4 linked regions of the Rattus norvegicus genome follow. The protein of the gene in region 1 interacts with the protein of each later gene in a pairwise test. Links are inferred from orthologs where the notes say so. Each region holds a gene or a part of one and is shown on either strand. Other genes may lie near its edges.

Region 1 (6,319 bases):
ATATTTGCAGGAGGAGCTTGCTATCTATCAGAGCCAACTTCAGACAACCCTGAAGGAGCTTCAGTCTCTCAGAACAATGCAAAAAGATGCTATTGCTGCTTACAAGGTGAGGGGCTTATGAAGTATTGCTGGAATATGCCCTTCCTGTAACTCCAGCTATATGGATATACTAAATGGTACCTGGGCTATTAATGCTATTTCACTACAGGTTGGAAGAAATATATGGTGGAAAAGGTTCCCAATAGTTGATCACTTGAAGAGATTACCTTTTGTTCTAACATGCTGAGCCTTTAGATGGTCCAGTCGCTAGGTGAACATTGTGGGATTGATGTCTGCTTGGTCTTCCCCTTCATCTATGGCAAAATAAAGACTTTACCAGTAAAACTTGGTTTATAACCAGGTACCACTGAACCTGGGTTCTCATATTATATCCTCCCATCTGATTTATCTTTCTAAACTGTTTCCAAAGTTCACAGAGCTGTTGCTTATACATGCCTGCCCACTATAGACTTCACAGGAGCACCAAAAAAAAAAAAAAGCACTAATAGTAAAAATTAGGTAAACCAGTCTCTAGGCTGGGAGCTAAATTGGAAGTTCTGGTCCTTCATTAATTACTCTAAGTATCTGGAAAAATATATATCCTCAGGAAAAGAAAGACAGATGGAGTTCCTCATGCATCCAGATAATTTTGTTCAATTTCCTAGTTCACCTGCTATAGTCAATATTTGCACATTCAACACATACTTATTGAATGGGTCACTAAGATTCATTCCCACCCTAGAATCCAAGCGTGGGAGACAGGTATTAAATGATGCCACCAACACTAATAAAATAACAACAGCGACTAGTACCATAGGAACAGCTACTAGTACCATAGGAAAACTCAGCAATGAAGAGAAATCCAAGAGGAGAACCTGAAAAAGTCCCTTGAGCTACAGATGTACTCAGTCGGCAGAGTACTTGCCTAGCATGCATGAGGCCCTGAGCTTTAGAGCTGGTATCACATAAACTGGGCATGATGGCACACACCTATAATTCCAGCACTCAGAAGGTAAAAGGAGGATCAGAAGTTCAAGGCATCTTTGACTACATTTCTAATTTTAGGCTAGCCTGGGACACATAAGATTCACTGTAAAAAAAAATTTTTTTTTTGAGGACTGTAGGATGAATATGAGAGAGGGGTCCTGGAGAAGAGTGTTGAAGGGAGAGGGAAAAGTCTGGAAACAGGATGTTAGAACAAGTCCAATAAAGCCAGAGCACACCAGGCAAGGTAACACTAGGAGGCAGAAACGACCCAGTCATGCAGATCCTTGTATGGAAAAAATGAAGTGCTTTTAACTTGGTCCCGTGACGTGAAAAATAAAGATTTGTAAGCACTCCACAGTTTCATTTCGTTTTGAAAGTATCTGATGGCCGTGTGGAAAATGGCTTAGAGAGACAACAGCAGGACCATATGGTTCGAAAACTTGCAGGGCAGCATGCCAAGCGCAAAGGTACTTGATACTATACAGAGATAAACAAGAACATGTGGTGTAGGGAGGAAATTCTATAGACGCGATGACTGATTGAATATGAGGAGTGAACAGTGATATCAGGCAGCATTTGGGTTTAGAAGTCTGGAGTTCAAAAGCTGGAGAAAGCTGGAGGATCAAAAGCTGCAGCTGGATGGATATTGCCTGGGAAGTGTGCAGTGAGCCTAGGATAGAACACCAACTGATTTTTAACATTTAAAGCTTGTTAGACTGGGAAATCATGAGAAAGGGAAACTGGAAGTACGTGGGTTGAGAGAACGATGGAGGTAAGGCTACCTTAAGGGTGCAGTAATGGTTGTCCATGGAATCTAAGCCATGTAAGACAAGCCGTGAAGACAGACACTTATGGATAAAACAGAGAGAGTCGATGTTGATGAATTGATTAGTTTCTTGAAACAGGGTCTGTCTCTCCAGGTAGCTCTGGCAGCCCTGGAACTTACTTTGTAGACCAGGCTAGCCACAGACTCATACAGATCATGCCTGCCTGATTCTCTGAGTGCTGGGATTAGAGCCAGGCACCACCATGCCCAGGATGAACACAAATGTTCACTGAGATCCAACAGTGCTGCAGCAGGGAGCAAGTGAACTTGGAACACAAAGTCATTTCGGAAATGATACATTTTCTGGGAATGATGAAATTCCATATGTTGTTGAAAATGAGTGGTAAAAGCTATAAGTCATTGGAAACATAGAAAATGAGGAGCCAAGAAACCAGGATATAGATTGTTCACCAGGAAAGAAGCTGTGTGCGTGCACGCATGAACACACACACACACACACACACACACACACACACACACACATACACACACACACACACTGCAAGTGCAGCAACTTTCAATTTTAGTGCTTTGTACATTGTTCATCATGTACTCATGTACTGTTTCTTTTTTTTTTTTTATGTACTGTTTCTTTTATGTGGTCTTGGCAAAAGGAGTAGTTTTGATTTTTAAAGGATAGGTCTCCCTGGTCTAAGAGCATTCTTCAGTAGATACTGATTTGCCAGTCTAGGAAAGTACTGTTAGTATTCATTTTAGGATGTTTGATGGACTCCACAACATTATTTATTAGAGCACAGGTTATCATCCAAGCACTGAAAACAAAACCAACCGTCCTACACCATTAAACTAGTTGGGAAAGAAGGAACAAGCCCCCCAAAGAGCTTTATTTGGTAGAACTGAATGTTGATGGTAAGCAGCCATTTGTGTGGAATTGCCCAAGGTATGTGGTGTGGTGTAAGCCCATCCCCAAATGCTAGTCTCAGTAGTAATCGTGGTGATGATTATGGAGGTTTCCAGGACAACAAGATACAACTGCAACAAAACCTTTCCTTGGAGTTTCTAAAGCTGCATCAGTTTCTGCACAACAAAGAAAAGGACATTCTCAATGATCTCCGGGATGAGGGGAAAGTCTTGAATGAGGAGATGGATGCGAATCTGAACCAGATTCAGGAGCAGTGTCTCCTTGCCAAAGACATGCTGGCGAACATTCAGGCACGGATGGAACAGCAGAACTCCTTCGACTTCCTCACAGTGAGATTCTGAACACAATTGATTATGGGTATACTTGGAAGGAGGAAAGAGAAACTGGGAATGGGGGGTGGGTAGTGATGGAAGGAAAGCAAATCTTAACCAAGCTCAACCCACTCCAACCATATCCTGCCCTATCCAACCCAACCCAACCCAACCCAACCCAACCCAATACAACCCAACCCAACCCAACCCAACCCAACCCAACCCAATACAACCCAACCCAACCCAATACAACCCAACCCAACCCAACCCAACCCAACCCAACCCAACCCAACCCAATACAACCCAACCCAACCCAATACAACCCAATACAACCCAACCCAACCCAACCCAATACAACCCAACCCAACCCAACCCAACCCAACCCAACCCAACCCAACCCAATACAACCCAACCCAACCCAACCCAACCCAATACAACCCAACCCAACCCAACCCAATACAACCCAACCCAACCCAACCCAACCCAATACAACCCAACCCAACCCAACCCAACCCAATCCAATACAACCCAACCCAACCCAACCCAACCCAACTAACTGGAGTGCTTTTTAGGTTCCGTGGGAGATAAGTAGCGGCTTTTACTTTGTTCAGTGGAAGCTTTACTTTCATCTTCCTATGAAACACAATAGTACAGTTTTGCTACATGAATCAGTGTTTTCTTACTTTCCCATAAAGAACATAGAAGATTTATTTTTCAAAAATAAGTCTCTTATAGTATTTGTTGAGTTTTGGTCTTGCTGAAATTATAAACTGAGCTATCGAAAAAGCTTTTTGTCAAACTTTGCTGCCTGAAGTCTGACTTTTATAGCAGCATTGGTGATCACATCAGCACTCAGAAGTTTGGTTACCCTTGGCCCTGGGATCGCTCCTGATCTTTTCTTGTTGGAGTATTTGGAAGCACTCACTTTTTAATAAGTTGACCTTAACTGTGGGCTTCCTAGCTCTTCTCTTGTTTCCTATGAGAGTTGGAAGTATAGAAAATCAGAAGGTTAGCAAATGAGAGGTCAGTTTATCAAGGGTTAGACTGGGATGCTAATTAGCAAAGCCTGTAGAGAATGAAAACTGTTGTTGGTGATGGACTGGGGACCCTCTCTAAAGGAAGCCAATATTGATGATCAAACCTGGATGGTTACCAGTATAACCAGAGAGATTTCTAGAGATGATGAGCAGGCATCTGACTTCTCTGTTTCTTCTTTTCTCTTTTAGGACATCACAAAGCTCCTAGAGAAGTAAGTGTTTCTCCATGGTACTCTATCCCCTCCTTCCACCACTGGAGGATGTCTCAAAATAAACTATTTGTGTGTTCCTTACAGCATGGAGAAAGGAATGAAGACACTTGTACCCAGACAGCTTATCTCCAAAAAGCTGAGCCTAGGTCGCTTCAAAGGTCCTATCCAGTATACCATCTGGAGGGAAATGCAGTCCATTCTCTCTCCAGGTACAGTGGGGATGAGCTATTGATTCCTATGGCCCATAATCTATATTTCATCTGTGACCAGGGTTTTTTAGTTTGAGACAGGAAGGAGACAGAGTTGGGTAGAGTTTGGTCACAAAATTTTTTTCTTTTTCTCCTGCTGCTATGATTTAAGAATATGTGTCTTTGAACTAATAACATATAAAAGTCTGATATTAGAATTACTCCTCAGCCTATGATTTTGTTTGATCTATAAGGTGTGGAAGTAGTCACAATTTTATCCTGTTTTGCTACATCAGCTATATGAATTCTTGCAAATATCAAAGGTCTGAACAGGACAAAATAACACAAGTGGTATTATTTCAAGAAAAAGAAATAATAGTCTAGATAAGATGTGTATAAAATAAGAATTTAGATAGCTTTTACAAAATTTGTATAGATAATATTATTGTTTGTTATTAACCTAGTTAAAATCGTAAATATATCCCTGTTACATTTTTCAGGTGACTAACACTGAAAGAAACTGAAGTATAATCAATAGGGCAGAATCTGCCTATTTTACCTAAATATTCCCAGTGTACATGCTGAGTTTTGACAAACATGGAAATATCTCTGTGATCAGGATATAGATGGGGGTTGGAGAGTTGGCTTAGCACTGAGCAAACACAAGGACCCGAGTTTGAATCCTTAGTGCCTATGTAAAAAGCCAGGCATGGTGGCATACGACTGTAGCTCCAGCACTAGGGATGAGGTTGTAGGAAAACATAGCTCTGACAAGACCTGCAGGCTGGACAGTCTTGCGTGAATTCCAGATTCAGCAAGAAACCTGTTCAAAAACTAAGATACAGAATGATGAGGAAGATACTTAAAGTAGACCTCTGACCTCCACATGCACATGTATGGGCATACCTGTACACACACACACACGCCCACACACACACACTTCAAAGTTTCCACAAGTCTCTTTACAGTTAGTTCTTTCTGTGTAGCTCCAGTCCCTCCTGCTGGCTAATCTGCTTTATTTCACTTTTGATACATCTTTGCAAATGTTTGATTTAATGTAGATCACACATTACTGTATTGTGCGTCTCGACTCCTGTACAAAGCACGGTGCTTCCTTTGATTCACCTTTGTTGCACGTAGCAATAATTTGTTTAATGAATATATCATAATGTGTTTATCTATTCTCCAGGCTGATGAGCTTTTAGATCACACTTCAGGGATATTATAAATAGGGTTGTGTGGATCTGTGGGGTTGAAGATATGCCATTTAATTTTATAAGAAACTATCGATGCTTTTTCTTCCTCAAGTGGTTGAAAGCCTCTCCACGTGCTTCTTGGCCATTCCTAAGATATATTTAATCTTTTGACCATACTTTTGTTGATTGCTTTAACATTAAATTATAAGTGGACAATCCTTTATTAGCCATGCTTGTTAAAAAGGATTTAAAGAAACAAAACAAGACAGGACAAAACAGTGTGCCTGTGTATAAGTTGGTTTCCCTAAGTGCGGCTTTCAACAGAGGCCAGAAAAAGGTACTCGTTCCCCTGGTTCTGGAGATATGGGCAGTTGTAAGTTGTCTGATATGGGTGCTAGAAACAGAGCAAGAAGAAGTACTACGTGCTCTTAAGCTCTGAGCCATCTTTCCAGCCACAAGTTACTTTTTGGACGGTTTCTTTTGTTTGTTTGTCTGTTTGTTTGTTTTGGATATAGAATCTCATGTAGCCCAGGCTGGCCAAGAGTGCTTACGTAGCCAGAAGTGATCTTGAGCCCCTAATCCTGTTGTTTATACCTTCAAAGTGTTAGGATTATAGGCATTTACCTGACTTAAAACATTA
Region 2 (6,319 bases), on another chromosome or scaffold:
GTGTGTGTGTGTGTGTGTGTGTGTGTGTGTGTGTGTGTGTAGGGTTGCCCTAATCTCAGGACAGGGTCCTGTCATCCTTTGACGATTTGAGGTAGCAGTATTGCTGAGTGTCTGCACCAGAGTCAAGCCAGAGACTTTCTCTGGAGAACTATCTCTTTTTGTCATATACCGAAGAACACCCTACTCAGAATGCCAGCTGCACAAATATGGTGTGCCGTGGTGTTATGTCCTGAGAAGCCAGTGGCAAGTTAAGAATATGGTGAATTGACCCACTTAGCCTGCCAAATGCCACAGCTTAGTCAGCCATCCTTACGCATGTGCAGAAGCTTACCACAGCCTACAAGGCAGCCTAAATAACATGGAGACTGCCTTCCAATTGAATATTGAGTCTCATGCTGTTTGTCGATTGCTCCACTGAAAATAAAACGCAGGATGCTCATATGGTTGTGTTCTTGTGACTGAAAAGCTCAAAACTTCCCAGACTATGTAAATACGGCACTGTCTGGTCCCACTTGGGAAGTGCTTCCTTTACCACAGAGAAGCACTTTCCTTAACATTGATGATGTCTGTTCTAAGATTTGATGTGGAACGATGCGTTGGTGGGAGGGTAGTGGATACTTGAGTCACAGTGAAGAAGAGCGCTGAGCTTTAGATATCAGGGAAGATGGAAGGAGTGGTTGAGTCACTGTCACCAATGAACAAGGGTGGGAAGATCCAGTTTAGAAAACACTATGAGGATGTGCTGCATTTAAGGTATTCACAATGTTAGATGAGAGACTCTGGCATCAGCTTGAGGTGGCACTCAGAAGTTAGAGAACTAATGACGTCACCAAGTGGGTACTGTGAGACAGAAGACTGAGGGTAGAACTTAGGAAAGACCTAAAGATAAGAGGGACACAGTAGAGAGATGTACTACAAAAAGAAGATGACATGGTTGAAGAGCCTTGGGACCACAACACACTCACATAGCATGCAGTGGACCCAGCTGGTGCCATGTCATATACAGAGTAGGCCCCTTCATCTTCATGGTAATACAATGAGGTAGGCATTATCATTACCTCCATTGCAGAAGACCCAGGCCGTGGTAGGGTACTGCACACCTAGGCAGGTAGGACTCTGGCAGTCTGTTTCCAGGGTCCAAGCATAGGGCTGTTTTCTGGGTAGCCTCTCCTACAGAAAAGTCTAGAACAAAGGAGGAAGGAAAGAGAAGTTCAGAGATAGATTTTCTCTCTTCCAAAGCCACATTCCTGGGAGCAGTCAGGAGTTCAAGAGCAGGGAGAAGTGGCGCTGCTTGTTTTTAGAGGTCCTTGCTAGCCCCCCACTGCTGTCTCTGCAGTCTTCCTTATCTCAGGAAATGGTCCACTCACTACCCAGGTGCCAAAACCAGAAACAGAGAGGACCCTTTTCCTTCTCTGCCAGGAAGCAAGTCTCCTGGGTTTTGTCACCATGATGCTTTGGGAATCTGTTGCTCTTTCTGCTTCCCTGATGGGTCAAGTCAACATCATCCTGGTATAAGATAGGGCACAGTTCATGTGTGGCCTTTCTTTAGCATTCTTGTCTCTGTCTAAGACATCCCTCCACAAGCATGTTAGAGTCCTCTGCTTATTTCCCATGGATAGTTTTCTTTGGCAATAAACCTTAATCCACATAGAAGCACATTCTATGGGCTCATTCACCCTGGCTTTTGGACTACTCCACATTCTGTGAAAGGCCTCTCATCCCTTGTCCAGTAAGACCCAGCTATGGTTCCTTTCAGCTGCTAAGACTGGCCTGAAACACATCTTTTCCACTGTCGTTTTTTCCCAACAGACTATTAAAAACATGTATTATAAGATTCAGTAGTTTTATTCATTGAAAACATTATTAGATACCAAGCAACCTTCACTTTCTTTCTACTAATTTTGTGATTTTGTGTGTATGTGTTTGCATGTATATGCCATGTCATGCATGTATGTAAGTCAGAGGAGAAATTGAGGACTCGGCACTCTCCTCCCACCATATGAGTTCCTGGGACTGAACTCAGCTTGTCAGTCTTGGTGGCAATCATTTTTACTAATTGAGCCATCCTGCCATTTATCTGCTTCAGACCCTGACTGCCCATGTTCCTTCACAGTCTCAGACCCCCCACTCCCTCCCCTGTTTTCCTTATCTGGATCATTCCTCCAAATCTCTATAACTTCATAAAAAGCCCAATCTACTTCATCGGGATGATTACAGTTTACTATTCTATCCTTAAACACACTTGCTGGTTTGTTTACATATATAAACGGTAAAGGTATAGAACTCATGCTCATTTTATTCATAAATTCTCAATAAGATATTATTGAGCAAATTGCCCATTTTAATATCCAGGAAGGATATGGGAGTGTTAATAAATGTAACTTGTTTTATACATTCATGATATTTCATGTTTTGCACCTATGTAATTAAGACATTGGAAAAAATTTCCCCAGTCAACACACATACAAAATGATCCCTCTTTCCTCAGCCCAGAATATCATCACCACCATCCATGGTAAAAACCACAGCTACAGGGATCTCCTGAGCACATGCCTGCAGGAGAAAATTGTTCATCCATTCACTGTCTCTAAGATAGCCATTGTCAGGGAGTTGACTTGCTTTTCCACACTTTGCTTCTTATAGCTGATGTATATGTAGCATATGTGTAACTCACGTGTCAGCCAAGCTTGCCCTATTGGAAAACAAACCAATGAAACAACAGAACCCACTACCAAACAATCAAACAACATCCAACCAATAAACACAAAACAACAGCAAAGGTTTAAAAGCAGTCTGAATCTTAGGTATTGTGGTATGAGCTGGCAAAGCAGGGACAAATGAATTCCTGAAGCTCACTGAAGCCACCCTAGTCTACATAGTGTCCATGCCAGTAAAGAAAACCTATCTCCAAAAAAGAAGAAGGACATCCAAGGTTGTTCTCTGTCTCTCTCTCTCTCTCTCTCTGTCTCTCTCTCTCTCTGTCTCTCTCTCTCTGTCTCTCTCTCTCTCTGTCTCTCTCTCTCTCTGTCTCTCTCTCTCTCTCTCTCTCTCTCTCTCTCTCTCTCTCTCTCTCTCACACACACACACACACACACACAGCACTTTACATGCTTTCAGGAGACTGATGCCACTTAATGATTTTTGAGAACTTTGAGGGAACTAAGTTCATGGAACTATGCACTCTGAAGTTCAGGCCCATGAGCTCCTGCTTTCTTCTGTGTTCTGACTTATCCATGCAGAACAGCCACATTTAATCTTCCATGTTATCTCCAGGTCCCCACCATTTATACAGCAGGCTAGCACTCAGGGTATGCCTCTTTCCCTTCTAAAGACCTTTTCAGCTACACTTTGTCGTCCTGCTTTCTCTGCAAACTCCATTTCCTTCACACCCTCATCCCCACCATATGGAAGCCATTGTAACTCTAAAACTTATTTCTTTCTTTGCTTTTTTCCATGGTCCTAAGTAAACTGGCTCTGGTTTTTCTTTATCTTTCATCTTTGTGGTCTGTCTTTTGCTCTTTGCTAATCTAGATTTTTATTTTTTCTTACCAGTAATTTAATCTAAATAATTCTAGTTAGAGTATAATAATCTCTAGAGAGTTTTATATCTCTTTTTCTTCTCTAAGCATAGTGTTACAGTTGTTTGCTCTTCTGTGAATTCTTGGAGCACTGGCACACCTAATTTTATTGCTAAGCATTGATCTTATTAATTTAACTCAAGATATTCTATTCTCTTGGATACAGGATTACATTGGTGAGTTCTTGGAAATTGTTTCTAAAATTCTTTACATATTGTCATTTTCTTCTGCTAGACAACTTGGGTGCTTCCAAGAAGAAACACTGAGTTAGAAGAGGAACCAAGAATATCCTAAGTCCCTGAACGATGACATCTTTACAATGCACACTTTCCCAAAGGATGTAACTTGATGGTCTGGGCTGATTCAACTTCCTATTGTGTGTGAGGGTTGCCTTTGATAGCTCAAGCATTAAAATGGGGACTGGGCCTGTAGGAACAGGCAGATGTAAGCAGGACACACGAGCCTCTGTGATCACCTCTCTAGGTTCAGATTTTCCCTTTGTTTTTAGCTTTGGAATTTCTTACTTTGTTGTTAGCCCAATGCTTTGACAAAGTCAAAAGCACCTTATTTGGTGACCTGAATGGGGGATTGTGTCAAATAATTTATTCTACCATTTAATAGAACTTCCACTTGTTCATTTTGTAATATCTTTTGTTTTAATTTGTAACAGATCTAGAGTCTGAAGAATGACCATGGTAGTGGTCAAAATTTTACAGATCTACTCTTTAAGTTTTTTTTTTTTGCTTTAATAAATTTGATTGATTGGTTTGACCTTGCATCACCATATAAACTTTTCTGAAACTTTGCTTCTCTGACCCCAAGTGACCTTATAACCAGGGAGATAACTGAGTTTGCTATGCTCCTGGCTCTTGTTTGCAGATACTGAGGAATGGCAAGAGTCGGAGGAGAGTGTGGAACACATCCTATTCTCCCACACCCGATACCCAGAGCAGGAAATGAGGATGAGATCCCAGGAATTCTATGAGCTCCTCAGTAAGAGACGCTCCATCAGATTTATCAGCAGCGAGCCAGTCCCGATGGAAGTGATTGACAATGTCATCAAAGCAGCAGGTTGGTAACTGCATGCTGAGCCTTTCAGAATGTCAGATGCTGTGAAAGATACAGTGTTGAGACAGCACTGAGTCCAAATATGTATACAAAGCTAGAGGGGTGTGTTTATCTATGAAGGCATTGTAGTTTGGGTTTTACTGCTGTGAACAGACACCATGACCATGGCAACTCAACTCTTATAGAGAATAACATTTAGTTGAGGCTGGCTTACAGTTTCAGAGGTTCAGTCCACTATTACCAAGATGGGAGTATGGCAGTGTGGAGACAGGCATGGCACTGGAGGAGCTGAGAGTTCTACACCTTGTTCCAAAGGCAAACAGAAGACTGTCCTCAGGCAGTTAGGAGGAGGGTCTCAAAGCCCCACCCCACAGTGACACGCTTCCTCCAACAAGTTCACACCTCCTAATAGTGCCACTTCCTGGACCAAGCATTGTACAAACCACCACAAAGGCTTTCTCGTTGCTACTGACTTCCAGAAACATGCATTTCTACTTCCTATGTTTTGGTTCTTTATTTCTTGGAAAACAGATATGATGATCATTTAAAATAATACAGTATTTTTTGAATTTTGTTTAAAGCTAAAAATTCTGAATATGTTAGTATACATTGCAGGAGAAACAACTCTCTCTTACTCAAAGCATGTTTCTTCTTCCACATTCAGGTCAGATTTATATGTTTGTCACAAACTCCAAGACACTCCAGTACAATAATTAGCTGAACAAGCCCAATAGCAAGGTTTCCTTCTGTGGATTTGTAAAGTACACTAAAGCAAGATAAATACATTTTAAATGTAAACTAATATCTCCACCCAGGGGAAACTAAGAACAAGGATGCCACACTCTCTAGGTTTTTTTTTTTTCTGTTTTCTTACTCTGCCTCATTTATGTTCATGTGTGGAGCTTGTTGCATACCCACTGAAAGCCATCTTTAATTCAAAAGACACCAAGAATACTTTGTTTCAGTCAAGAATACAAATGCCTTGGATAGTTGTACCCTTTGCCTAAATGGCAAGTCAATAATCCCCACCCTATATACACCTGTGAGTTTGAGTTAAATGTTAAATTATTCCTCCCCCTCCCCTTTACCTCCTCACCCTTCCCCTCCTTCCCCTCCCCCTCAATTTCCCCTCCTCCCCCTCCCCTCTCCTCCCCCTCCCCTTCCCTTTCCTCTCCCCTTCCCCTCCCACTTCTTCTTCCCCTCTCCCCTCTCCTTCCCTGCTCCTCCTGCTCCTCTTTCACCTCTTTCTGTCTGCCCTCCTTCCTCCTTATAGCATTTTGACACAAAGTCTAACTTACAATCCTCCTGCCTCAGCCTCCCAACTGCTGAATGGGCTTATAGACATACATCAGCATAATACCTGCTATTGTATTTCCTCTTAGAATGAACAGTTTTGCATTCCTCTGCAGTCTCACACTTATTTTAATTTAATGGGTAACAGGAACAGCTCCAAGTGGAGCCCATACAGAGCCCTGGACGTTTGTGGTGGTAAAGGACCCAGACATGAAGCATAAGATCCGAGAGATTATCGAGGAGGAGGAAGAAATCAATTACATGAAAAGGATGGGAAAGCGATGGGTCACAGATCTGAAGAAACTGAGGTACAGAGCTGAAGGGCTTAGGGGTGCTTGGTGTGCCTGTTACTGTAAGAAACTGCCACTGCAGGTCCAGGG
Region 3 (6,319 bases), on another chromosome or scaffold:
AACCAAGGTAAGAGTTTACTTGGTGCTTAGAGTCTCAGAGGGCTAGAGTCTATGAGGTCATGATGGGGAACATGGCAGCAGGCAGCATCCGAGAGCTTACATGTTGATCTGCAAGCATGAGGCAAGGAGCTGACTGGGAATGATGTGGGCTTATCCCTAGTGATGTCCCTTTAAGAAGGCCACATGTCCTACTCCTTCCCAAACAGTTCTATTCACTGGGGACCGAGTGGATTTTCCTTATAGATGTCATTCTATTGAATCCACCGCACAGATTAAATGATCCCATTGGAGTGCTACATCCTGTTATCAGTCTTTACAAACATCTCATCGTGGCATCTGCCTAAGACGTTTCAGTTGGCTGCATCTCGTCCTCTACAGAGGAGAGCAGCATATGAGCTCTGCCAGCTACTGAGAACATTGGATTCCTTTGGCCTTTCAATTCAATGTACACAGACTGGGCTATGAGACTCACGGTACATTATAATAAATACCTGTGTAGACAGGCTGTCTAACTTTACCACACAACATTGGCTTTTGTGTCAGATCATGGTGGTGTCAGGGTAGCTACTGTCTATAAGAACTGCCTAAAGTTACATTATATGTCTCATACACATTATATGACATCTATTAAGGGAGGGGTAGTGGCTTCTGAGTACCTGCTAGCTGATCAATTTGCTTGGTAAAGGCTTGAGAACCATTGGTCTCTCTTAAAATGCCACGGTAATGACCGGAATACTTGGCAAGTTATCACGAAGTTAACATTTTGATTTCTCTTCTTTCTCACATTTATCTCCTCTCATCTTGTTTGCTTTACGACAGAAAATAGACATTCTTTTAAAAATTTTTATCCTTTGACAATTTAATAGATATCTAAAAAATAGGTTTCCGTGATCAGAAATTTCAGCTAGGGAAAGGAAGGACATGATGAAGACTTTAATTTTAATAAAGGTAGCAGGGCCATTCAGGTGGGAGAGGATCGTCTCAGAGAATGTTATTGTAACAACTGGACATACATGGGATAGAAGGTGAAGTTTGGAATCTTTTATCTTGCTGTGTTCGGGAATTATCTTGAAAAGAACCATTTTCCTATTGCATCAAATGACTGCAAACCTATGCGGTTTGGTATTCTGTCTCCGTGTCATTCTTGCTTCTTCGGGAGAGAGATGGTAGGGTGTGGGGCAATTATTTCCTCTCCCACTATTTTTGTATGGTGGACATTTATTGCTCCTTAAAGGGGCAGGTATGGATTAGAGATTGGCTCACTGTGAGGGCTGCAGAGAAGCACCTCATTGCATACGTTGCTGTTTCCCGTTTTCTAGGCCTTGTCTCCTTGAAACACTCCACCACCCCCTTCCTAAAAGTGGAGCCCTTTCTTCCTGGACACTATGAAGTTTTGGATTTAAAACCAAATGGCAAAGTCGCGTCTGTGGAAATGGTCAAATACCATCACTGTACGGATGAACCACTGCATGCCATCTATGACAGTGTGGAGAAACTCTTCCCAGGTGACTGGTGCCTATGACCAAACTCCAGAACTGCAGGCACTCCCTGACTGCATGGGGCCATTCACACCATTTTCAGTGATCTCGGTTTAAAGGTGTTGATTTGGAGGTGGCGGGAGCTCCTTGAGCGAGGGAGGGCCATCATATCATGGTGGGGTAGGACATTGCTTGCCTCCTCTCAGTTGGCTTAGCCTCAGCTTATCTGTGACGGCTCCGTTTACTCTCTGTGTTGCTAGGCTTTGAGATAGAGACCGTGAAAAACAATCTGCGTATCCTTTTTAACAACGCTATCAAGAAACGCTTGATGACTGACCGGAGGATTGGCTGCCTTTTATCAGGTGACGAGAGTTTAGAAAAACATACATCTTGCCGGTGTTTAAAGGCAATGGTTTGTAGCTGGCTCTGAGCTTTGAATTTAGTTAAAGGCCTACTATATAATTTCATCATTGTTTTTCTATAGACGTGTTTACAAGCTGCATTTGTTAAGGTTAGAGCTGGTTGGTACTCATTCCTTAGAGTCCTGTGTATTGATCTTTTAAACTTTAGATACAATTACTATTGTAAGGGGCCAATAAAATGTATTAACATACACTCATATGTATGTGAGCACACACACACCCACACACACACACTTCATTTCACTATGTGTCTATCATATTAAAGTTGATTTCAGTTTACAAAATTCAGAGATGTTAGTGGTCAAATGCCAATCCAGATGTTTAACAGGTGTGTGATTGTCTTTGCCCTGCTTGCCGTATGCCTGTAGCCATTGACTTTGTTCTTACGCTGTAGGAGGCCTGGACTCCAGCTTGGTTGCTGCCTCCCTGCTGAAGCAACTCAAGGAGGCCCAAGTGCCCTATGCTCTCCAGACATTTGCTATCGGCATGGAAGACAGCCCTGATCTACTGGCTGCCAGAAAGGTACAGTGCAGCCCGCCCATTGCATATTCAGAACTTAGTCCTGGTGTTGGGACGAACATCAAGTGAAGCTGTCCTAGTGTGCCTGTTGTTACCGTAATAAAGGCCATGACTGGAAGCAACAGGGTGAGGAAAGGATTTATGTGGCATACATATCCCCAGTCATACTTCTACTGAAGGAATCTGAGGTAAGAACTCAAGGCAGAAACCTGTAGGCAGGAACTGAAACAGAGAGCATGGAGGGACATCACTTATTTATTGGTTTTTGCCTCCTGGCTCCAGGCCCTTCAGTTCTCTCTTTGTTTCCTGTGTTCTCTTTCCTCAGCAGACTGTGACTCAAAATAGGTAAACCAAACAAACTCTTTCCTTCCCAAGTCTATTTTGGTCATGGTCTTTATGACGGCCATAGAGAACAGTCTAGGATAGAAATTAGTACCAGGATAACAGCTCAAATCTTGTTTTCTTCTGAAGCATTGCATTATGAATTGTAGGCAGAACAGACTTTGTACACATAATTCTATGTGCCGAAGACCGGGTCTTGCTCTGAAAAGACCTACAGTGATGAGAAAGGCCTAGAAGAGAATCCCAATGCAAATAGATATATGCTGGAAGACGGGAAAAGGCTATTAGAATACCATGCTGGGTATAAAATTAGTCATTTCAGTACAGCAAAAGAGAGATGACGTTCAAAAGGGAACCATACTGGACTAGGGAGAGATGAGGCAGGTTAGGTAATATAGGAGAGAGTCCTGTGCTGATTGGGGTCCTGGACTGTCAGTCTGTAGCTTTGAGTTGGAAAGAACCAGTAGGAGATTTACCTCCTGTGGTTGAGTCATGAGTGAGGGCCAGGCAGACTGCCTCCTGTCAAAGGGACCTGCACCTCCTTACTTAAGGGGCCTGCACCACCTCCTGTCAAAGGGACCTGCATGGCCTCTTGCTGCTATGGTCTGGAGAGACCTGGAGTGGTCTTCTGCTTTGTTTCTTTTCACCATGTTTACCTTGAGAGGATCTGGCTTGTTTCACTTTCTAAAGTAGCTCTTTAACAAAGATAGGGATTTCTCTTTACATTCAGGTGGCAAATTATATTGGAAGTGAGCATCATGAAGTCCTTTTTAACTCTGAAGAAGGCATTCAGTCCCTGGACGAAGTCATATTTTCCTTGGAAACTTATGATATTACGACAGTTCGAGCATCTGTAGGTAAGGGGTTTTATTGGCATGAAAAGTAGAAGGTTTAAGATGATTTCAGCTCAAGAGAGATTGTCTAAATATGAATATAAACAAGTTCCTATATTGTTAATAATACTATTATATTGTTAAGACCATTTAAGAGTGCCCTGAATTTCTTTTTGACTGGAGGAAGTGCTTAATGAATATAGTCAGATCATCTGAACACTGAATTTACAAGGTCAGCTTGGGCTATAGTCTTAATAAATGCTTTATAAAAATATTAACAGTTCACATTTGCAAAACACATGCTTCATGCTAGGTTCTGTCTCCCTACTTTATATGAATTATTTGTTACCTTAAAACTAACCCATCATAGCCAGTATTCCATCATCCAGGAGGCTGAGGCAGGAGAATTACACGACATTTGGCATATATGGCATGACCATAGAATGGATACATATTTTGACTCCTTTTTTTTTCCTCCCATTTTCTCTGTGTAAAATATCTTGGATGGTATAGTTGGGCCACAAAACATTATCCCTGAGTTTCACCAACCAAAGCTTGAAAACACTTGAGAGCTATAATGTGTATGACTGGACCTGGGCAGACTTTATTGCTGTCGTTATTGTAATAATAATAGGGTGTCAGCTGCTTACATAGCATTTACACTGTATCAGAAATTGTATGTGATCTAGAAGTGATTTAAAGTACAAGAACATCTCATAGGTGTTACAGATTCCGGTCTCTGCAGTAACGCAAGTCTCTCAGTGCAGTGTGACTTTGCCTCCTAGTGCATATAAAAGCTATGGCTACAGTGTGCTGTGGTCTTCTAGGTACCTCTACTTACTGCTATTGATCGTCTAAGCTATGGAAAATGATACGGTGTATTTGCTTAGAGCAGAATTGCCAGACCTTTAATTTGTAAGAAGTGAATTTCCTCTGAGGCACAGTAAAGCCAAGCACAGTAAAACAAGATAGGCCTGTATACGTGTGTAGATTGTGTGCAAAACTCCACCTTTTTATAAGGTGTTGGGGCATCAGAAGATGTGGGTAGATGACGGGAGGACCAGGAACCAATCCCAAATGAATACTGAGGGAACACTGTTCTTTATTAAATGGGGAAATGGGTCTGTACTGCAGTACATTTTCCTTAAGGAGTTCTCATGTAGATGTATTAAACACACCACTCTGTCACAGGGCTTACTAGTTGCCAGCTGTTACTGTCATGCAAGCAACACTTATCTGGTGAACACATCTAAGATTAGAAATGTACCACAAATCAGAGAGCCCAACGTTGTCGAACCTCTAAACTGTTACTTAGCTGAGTGGGTCTTTTTAAACATTCACTTTGCAGTGCAATAAAATCCCTTGAGTATTACAGTGATTTGTCCCTCGGAAGCTTCATCATTAAATACACACACATATAGGACGTATGTGGTTGAATTTTTATGAGGTGGAAGCAGAGTTGGGAAGAAGAAAGTCTCTCCTAAGACGGATAAAAGTGAGCTTGGAGGAGACATATGGTAGTGGAGAGAGATGTGAAACGGGTACCAAATAGACAGTATGATACTGTACATAGCCTTCTTAATCAAATGTGGGATTTGGAAATGAGGAGCGGAAATGGAAAAGAATGAAACAATTAAAAGTAAGCTACTTCTGTTAGTCAGTTTTCTGTTATTATAATGGATAACCCCAGAAGAGAAACTGCAGAAAATAAGGATTTTTTAAACTTAGAATTTTGAATGCCAAAAGTCAAACAGCATGGGACTTTGGTGGGTGGCATCAAGGAGCTGCATATGAGGAAGAGATCTCATAGTGATACCAGGGGCCAAAGAATAGAGAGCGGTTCTGTTTTAGACAGTTGAATAGGGAGAAATAATTTGATTTATCCTGGGAATTGTCTTAATGCCTTCTAAGGCAAGATGCTTGAGGACCCAAGTAACCCCAACCAGACCTTACCTCCACTTCACCACCGTGGATCACACCACCAACACATGAGTCCTTGGGAGACCAAACTGCATCCAAAGCATTGCACAGCCCATGCCTTACTTTTCTGTACTAGTGACAGTATACAAGCCATGGTATTCGGGTATTTAAGCGGTTCGATCTAGCAAAAAATTAATATAAAAAGTCTTGTTCTAAGAACATAATTTTGGAGCCTGTTTATAAAATAATACAGTGGATGCAAGGCTATTTTATTGCTTAAGTTGGATTGACTGCATGGAGACGGCTTGTGAGTGTGTGATCCTTTTGGAAGCTGCATTAATACCTCTATTAACTCAGCCCAACAAGACACTCCAACCTGCAGTTGTTTCTGAGGCTCTCCAAAACACAACACTGACATCAACATTAATTTCTGTTTCCTTTAAGGTATGTATTTAATTTCCAAGTATATTCGGAAGAACACAGACAGCGTGGTGATCTTCTCCGGAGAGGGGTCAGATGAGCTTACACAGGGCTATATATATTTCCACAAGGTCAGTACTCTGAAGTGAAAAGACGGCCAGGCTAAGTGAAGAAACGTCAGAATCACTGGCCTCTTTCTGTTCTGTCCTTATAATTTGTAACATTTTTAGAGGGCATGTGTGTTTGTGGGTAAGAATTGATGATATCTGTTTTCTGTGTGTGTATGTATGTATGTATGTATATATTTATTTTTTTCATTTATTTATCTATTTTTACGAGAAAGAAGGCTTTATAGTATCAGATACTTTTCATTCTTAAAATTAAA
Region 4 (5,950 bases), on another chromosome or scaffold:
CATATTCCTCAGGTAGCTGCAGATAAGAGGAGGACAGCAGGGGCTGGGGATTTAGCTCAGTGGTAGAGCGCTTACTTAGGAAGCGCAAGGCCCTGGGTTTGGTCCCCAGCTCCAAAAAAAAAGAACCAAAAAAAAAAAAAAAAAAAAAAAAAAAAGGAGGACAGCAGCGAAGTGCTCGCTGGAGGGAGGGCCAGGGGGAATGCGTGCTAGGCACTTCGCCTTGCCTGGCAGCCTCTGCTCCCAGTACTTTACTGCAGACTCCTGCACCCCTGCTCTCCTCATCCTTCTCGCTGTTGTTTCACTTCATGCCAGCCAGACGGTTTGTTTTATTTATTGATGGATTTTATTTTGTTTTGCTTTGCTTTGCTTTAGACAGGGTGTCACAGTGTAGCTTCACTGTCCTGGAACTCTCTCTGTAGACAAGGCTGGCCTCAAATTCAGAGATCTCTTCAAATCCACCCTTTGCCTCCTGAGTGCTGTTATTGTATGCGGATGCATGCATGTGTATGTGCCACCACCACCTGGCTCTCTGTTTTATTATTATTATTTGATTTTAAAAAATATATAGTATGTGTGGTGCACTACTTATGTGAGTTTCTGTGCCTCATGTATATACAGGATCCTATGGAGCAGAAGAGCGCATCAGATCCCCTGGTACTAGAGTTACGGGCACTTAGGAACCATCATGTGGGTGCTCGGGGACCCTGGGTCCTCTGGAAGAACAGCCAGTGCTTTTTTTTTTTTTTTTTTTTTTAATTATTATATATAAGTACACTGTAGCTGTCTTCAGACACACCAGAAGAGGGCATCAGATCCCATTACAGATGGTTGTGAGCCACCATGTGGTTGTGGTTGCTGGGAATTGAACTCAGGACCTCTGGAAGAGCAGTCAGTGCTTTTTTTTTTTTTTTTTTTTTTTTTTTTTTTTTTTTTTTTTTCTTTCTTTTTTTCGGAGCTGGGGACCGAACCCAGGGCCTTGTGGTTGCTAGGCAAGCGCTCTACCACTGAGCTAAATCCCCAACCCCCGCAGTCAGTGCTCTTAACCACTGAGCCGTCTCTCCAGCCTTTTCTCCACCTTTTTTTTTTCCCCCCAGAGCTGGGGACCGAACCCAGGGCCTTGTGCTTGCTAGGCAAGCGCTCTACCACTGAGCTAAATCTCCAACCCCGGGCAGAGACATTTCTGCCTCACACTTGGCCTCTATGCAGGCACTAGAATGAAATCTAGGCTCTGGTCTCCATGCCTAAGTGGTAGGGCTCTGCCTTCCGACCCACCCCTGGAACCCTGTTTGGGGGATAGGATCTGACTTTGTAGCCCAGACTGCCCTGAAACTCACTTTGAACTGGTCATGATCCTCCTGCCTCAAACTCCTATGTATAGGTCTGAGCCACCACACCTGGCCTGATTAACTTCCTGATTTATTTTTGCCTTTTTGCTTTGTTGATAGGAAATTAAGTCAAGGTAATAGCATGAATTGTAAATCTACATTTTTTTTTTTTTTAAAGATTTATTCATTTATTATATATAAGTACACCATAGCTGTCTTCAAATACACCAGAAGAGGGCATCGGATCTCTTTACAGATGGTTGTGAGCCACCATGTGGTTGCTGGGAATTGAACTCATGACCTCTGGAAGAGCAGTCGGGTGCTCTTAACTGCTGAGCCATCTCTCCAGCCCGTAAATCTACATTTCAAATGCTTAAAAACGTTTTTTCTGAGCCAGGTGGTGATGATGGAATGCACCTTTAATTCTAGCACACAGCAGGTAGAGGCAGGCAGATCTGAGTTCCAGGCCTGCCTGGTCTACAGAGTGAATTCCAGGACAGCCAAGGCTACACAGAGAAGCCCTCCCTGTCTTGAAAAACATTTTTTCTTACATTTCTTTACTGTGTGCAACTGTTTGTATGTGCTCACATGTGTGCATGGTCATGCATGTGTGGATCCCCTTCCGTCATGTGTTGTGGGAATCAAACTCAGGTCATCATGGGCGATTATGAGTATTCAGAGATGCACACATGTATGCATAGCCCATACATGCATGCATGCATGCACGCACGCACGCACGCACACGAAAGCAACATGGCAGCATTTGTTGGCTGTGTTTTAAGGCAGTGTGGGTACTAGTGTGGCTTATAGTTTAGTTTGCTTCCTTACTAGGATAAACATGACCAAAAACAACCCGGGAAGGAGAGGGTTTGTCTGGCTTACACTTTGAGGTCACAGTGTGTCACTGAGGGAAGTCAGGGTAGGAACTCAGGGCAGAAATCAGGGCAGCTGACGTGGAGGAACACCCATCAGAGGCTTGCTCGCCACAGTTTGCTCAGCCTGCTTTCTTACAACTTGCAAGACATCTTGCCCGGGAGTGGCAGCACCCCCAGTGAGTGGAGGCACCCCATGTCAATCACTAATCGAGACAATGCAGTACAGACAATATGATGGGGGCATATTGAAGTTCCTTCTTCCCAGATACAACTAACCAGGACAAAGCTGAGCTTAAGTCACACTCCAGTACTCCCCAATCTCAGGTGGCAGAGGCAGGATCTCTGAGTTCCAAGCCAACCCGAGCACAAGAACAGCCAGGACTGTATAGAGAGACCGTCTTAAAAAACAAAATAAAGCCCTAACCAGGACATGTATTAAGAAGCCTTCTCAGCTATGATCCTTTTTATTTTATCCCACAGTTTCGCTAGACTCTTGTACAAACTGCTTCTTTTGAGAGAGCTTTCTTTTTACCGTTTGTTTGGTTTTTGAGCCAGGGTTGCTCATTTAGCACAAACTGCCTTCAATCTCAGTATGTAGCCAAGGCTAGCCTTAAACTGCCAGATCCTTCTTCCTCTATCTCCCAAGTGCTGAGGTTATAGGAGTGAACCTCCATGCTGATTTCTGGTCTCTGTCCTAAGACAGTTTTTCTTTCACAGCAACGTGAGACTGTGGTAATTTCTCAATCAGAGGGGCTTTATCTACAGGTTGTTCTAAATCAAAATTCTGTTTGGGGGGCTGACAGTCGGGAGCCTGTGGGGAGCGGGGCGGTGAGAATGATGTAACACTGTACCCAGGGGACTGAGGGCCTAATGGCTGCTTACCTCTCATCCTGCAGTGTGGGCCAAGCTGAAACTGCAGAAGGCTTCAGAACGATGGCAGCCTGACACCGAGGTGGGTGTTAATGTGGATCGTGTTAGGTGTGGCGTCAAGTGACGGCTCCCTCACTACGCAGACAGGAGAGGCTAGAGAGTTTTCTGTTTTAGCAAGTGTAATGACAGTGTCTACACGTGTGTGAGCCTGTCGGCATGTATGCTTTAAGTCTTTGTCATCAGGCACTTCTCCCACTGAGGCAGTTGTGAATAAGGGCACCCCGTCTCTTGTGCTACCCTGGGGATTTCTAAAGAAGTCTGTCACCTCTTAGGTCTCTGAGGAAAGCATCAAGTCAGAGATGGTCCTCTCTTCAGAGTGGGAATCTGTCCTTGTTGGTCTTGACAGGTCTCAGAGATGGCTACCATACATTGAAGGGGTGGCAGTAACGTCCTGGTCCTGTGCAGACCGACAGTAGTCTCTTATTCTATGTCAGTATTGCAGTTTTGTTTTCTTGCATCAAGAGCCCTTCCAGCTGTAATGTAGACCTGAAACACAAGACTGGCCTCGCTGTCAACTCCTGCAGTGGCCCAAGGGCAGAAACCCAGGCTTGGGCACCATTTCACACTGCTGTTTTGGTTTCCTTGTCAGGCTTTCCCTGTCAGGCTTCCTTGTCTCAAACACAAGGCATTTCTTGAAAGACTATGAAGGGATAAGGGTGAGCCACGACTGGTGCCACTCTAGATATCTAGAAACAGCTTTGGATTCCTCTTGGAGCTCTGGTTGAGAAAGTTATGTTAAATTAATGCTGGTTTCTGGCAGTGTGTAGCTAACGGCCTTTCCTTTTCAGGAAGAATATGAAGACTCCAGTGGAAATGTTGTGAACAAGAAGACATACGAGGATCTGAAAAGACAAGGACTGCTCTAGTGGTTGGCCATGCCTGGGCTTCCGTGAGAAGCCTGAGAAAATTTTTCCCAACCAAATGTTCTTAAAGACTTTTTGCTATGTAGTATCTACCTTGTAGGAAGAAGACATGCTGACAGATTGCAGAATTGAGATGTGTTTTATCTTTGTTTTATATTAAAAAGATTTGTGGGAAAATAAAACAGCCCTTGTTCTAGACGTGTTGTTTCTGAAATCCAGGTCTATAAAGTAACATAATCCTTTTGTTCTTAATGCCTCCTGGTCTGGTTCTCACCAGCTTCCATATTGGCTTAGACTTAGGGGTAGTTATTACTACCTATATATAATTCTGTCTGTGTGTCTCAATGATAGCCCAGGCTGGCCTTGAACTCCCACCAGCCCTGCTTCAGCCTCCCTGTGCTGAGATTACAGATCTGGACCGCCTCACCAGGCATGTGTCAAGTAATTGAGACCTAACGTTTCTCCCTTCACTGCCACTTCCCAAATGAGCCTCATGCCGGCATGAACTCTGCCCTCAGTAGAGTCAGCCATCAGTGTGAATATCAGAGAAAACAGGAGGGTGAACCAGACCTGAGGCTTAGAGTGGTTTCAAGGTTTGCCTGTTTTATTTGCCTAAAGAAATTAGCTGTAGTTGGCCTTGGTCCCAGCACCTGGGGAGAGGCAGGCATCTGAGTCCAAAGCCACTCAGGGTGCTGTTGTGAGACTCTGCCTTAGAAAATAAATTAACTGCAGCCAGGTATAATAGCAGAGGCCTGTATTCCAGGCTTCGGGGCAACTCAGGCAAGAGGATGGCTGCAAATGAGCTGCTCTGTGTTCTGAATCTGTTATTCTAGATTTCAGAACTACAAAGTCCTGTCCTACCTATGAGGACAGTCACTGAAGGTTGAGTAAAATTTCCCAGAGCCCTCTTAGCATGGTGACCCTAAGCTGGTTTGTCTTCAGACAAACCCCAACTCTGGATGGCCATCTTCCTCCATATACCTGTTGTCCTTGTCGCGCCCCTGGCAGCCAGGGTCTCGACACCCCTACTCTGAATTACATTACTCTAGTCAACCCATTCTTTGTATGACCTTATGCTTTGGCTCTGCCAGTCCGTGATGAGCAACCTCCCCTAGGCTCATGCAGCAAGGAGCCCATGGTCACATCTAATTGAATCAATTAGAAACCGATGGCTGGAAACTAGACCAAGGTGAAAGGAGAAGTTGCCTTCTCCTGTAGGAGAAGCCTTGCAAAGCAAAGCGGTGGAATGGAGAATGGGGGAAGCCCTGGGGCTACAATAGTAGCCACAACGGGGGGGCTGGAGAGATGGTTGAGTGGTTAAGAGCACTGACTGCTCTTTCAGAGGACCTGAGTAACCACTCAGTTACTCCCAGTAACCACATGGTGGCTCACAACCATCTGTAATGGGATCCGATGCTATCTTCTGGTGTGTCTGAAGAGAGCAACTGTATTCACATAAATAAATAAATCTTAAACATTTCAAATGCACAGTGGAATTTTATTTAGTTGTAAAAGAATAAAATGACATTCAAAGGCCAACGAGGTAGATGTGCTGGATGTGGTGGTGCACACCTTGATCCCAGCATGTGGGAGGCAGAGGCAGGCAGAGCTCTGTGAGACAGAGAAACCCTCTCCTGTAAAACAAAAATTAAAAAAAAAAAAAAAAAAAAAAAGGGGGCTGAGGTGGCTCAGTGGTCAAGGCACTGACTGCTCTTCCAGAGGTCCTGAGTTCAATTCCCAGCAACAACATGGTGACTCACAATCATCTGTAATGGGATCTGATGCCCTCTTTTGGTGTGTCTGAAGACAGCTACAGGGCACTTACATATAATAAATAAATAAATCTTTTTTAAAAATGAAGTCTAGGGGTTGGGGAGTTAGCTCAGTGGTAGAGCACTTGCCTAGCAAATGCAAGGTCCTGGGTTCGGTCCCCAGCTCCAAAAAAAGAAACAAGAAA

Evidence for each region.
Region 2: the proteins of Trim69 (region 1) and Iyd interact in binary tests that used the Homo sapiens proteins (3 or more experiments, as listed by UniProt). The two-hybrid records come from large-scale screens. The link is inferred for Rattus norvegicus from reciprocal best matches to the Homo sapiens genes TRIM69 and IYD.
Region 3: the proteins of Trim69 (region 1) and Asns interact in binary tests that used the Homo sapiens proteins (3 or more experiments, as listed by UniProt). The two-hybrid records come from large-scale screens. The link is inferred for Rattus norvegicus from reciprocal best matches to the Homo sapiens genes TRIM69 and ASNS.
Region 4: the proteins of Trim69 (region 1) and Sf3a3 interact in binary tests that used the Homo sapiens proteins (3 or more experiments, as listed by UniProt). The two-hybrid records come from large-scale screens. The link is inferred for Rattus norvegicus from reciprocal best matches to the Homo sapiens genes TRIM69 and SF3A3.

Annotation. Positions count from the first base shown.
Region 1 is NC_086021.1:129,576,664-129,582,982, forward strand, and holds part of Trim69 (E3 ubiquitin-protein ligase TRIM69), read left to right. Parts: intron 1-10; coding exon 11-106; intron 107-208; coding exon of another isoform or gene 209-286; exon of another isoform or gene 287-384; intron 385-2,830; coding exon 2,831-3,064; intron 3,065-4,272; coding exon 4,273-4,295; intron 4,296-4,379; coding exon 4,380-4,504; intron 4,505-6,319.
Region 2 is NC_086019.1:42,411,594-42,417,912, forward strand, and holds part of Iyd (iodotyrosine deiodinase 1), read left to right. Parts: intron 1-4,457; coding exon 4,458-4,649; intron 4,650-6,087; coding exon 6,088-6,247; intron 6,248-6,319. UniProt on the Homo sapiens protein: Catalyzes the dehalogenation of halotyrosines such as 3-bromo-L-tyrosine, 3-chloro-L-tyrosine, 3-iodo-L-tyrosine and 3,5-diiodo-L-tyrosine.
Region 3 is NC_086022.1:36,754,641-36,760,959, reverse strand, and holds part of Asns (asparagine synthetase [glutamine-hydrolyzing]), read left to right. Parts: intron 1-1,319; coding exon 1,320-1,505; intron 1,506-1,738; coding exon 1,739-1,840; intron 1,841-2,294; coding exon 2,295-2,422; intron 2,423-3,491; coding exon 3,492-3,618; intron 3,619-5,958; coding exon 5,959-6,065; intron 6,066-6,319.
Region 4 is NC_086023.1:142,267,863-142,273,812, forward strand, and holds the end of Sf3a3 (splicing factor 3A subunit 3), read left to right. Parts: intron 1-3,096; coding exon 3,097-3,152; intron 3,153-3,918; coding exon 3,919-3,996; 3' UTR 3,997-4,175; downstream 4,176-5,950. UniProt on the Homo sapiens protein: Component of the 17S U2 SnRNP complex of the spliceosome, a large ribonucleoprotein complex that removes introns from transcribed pre-mRNAs.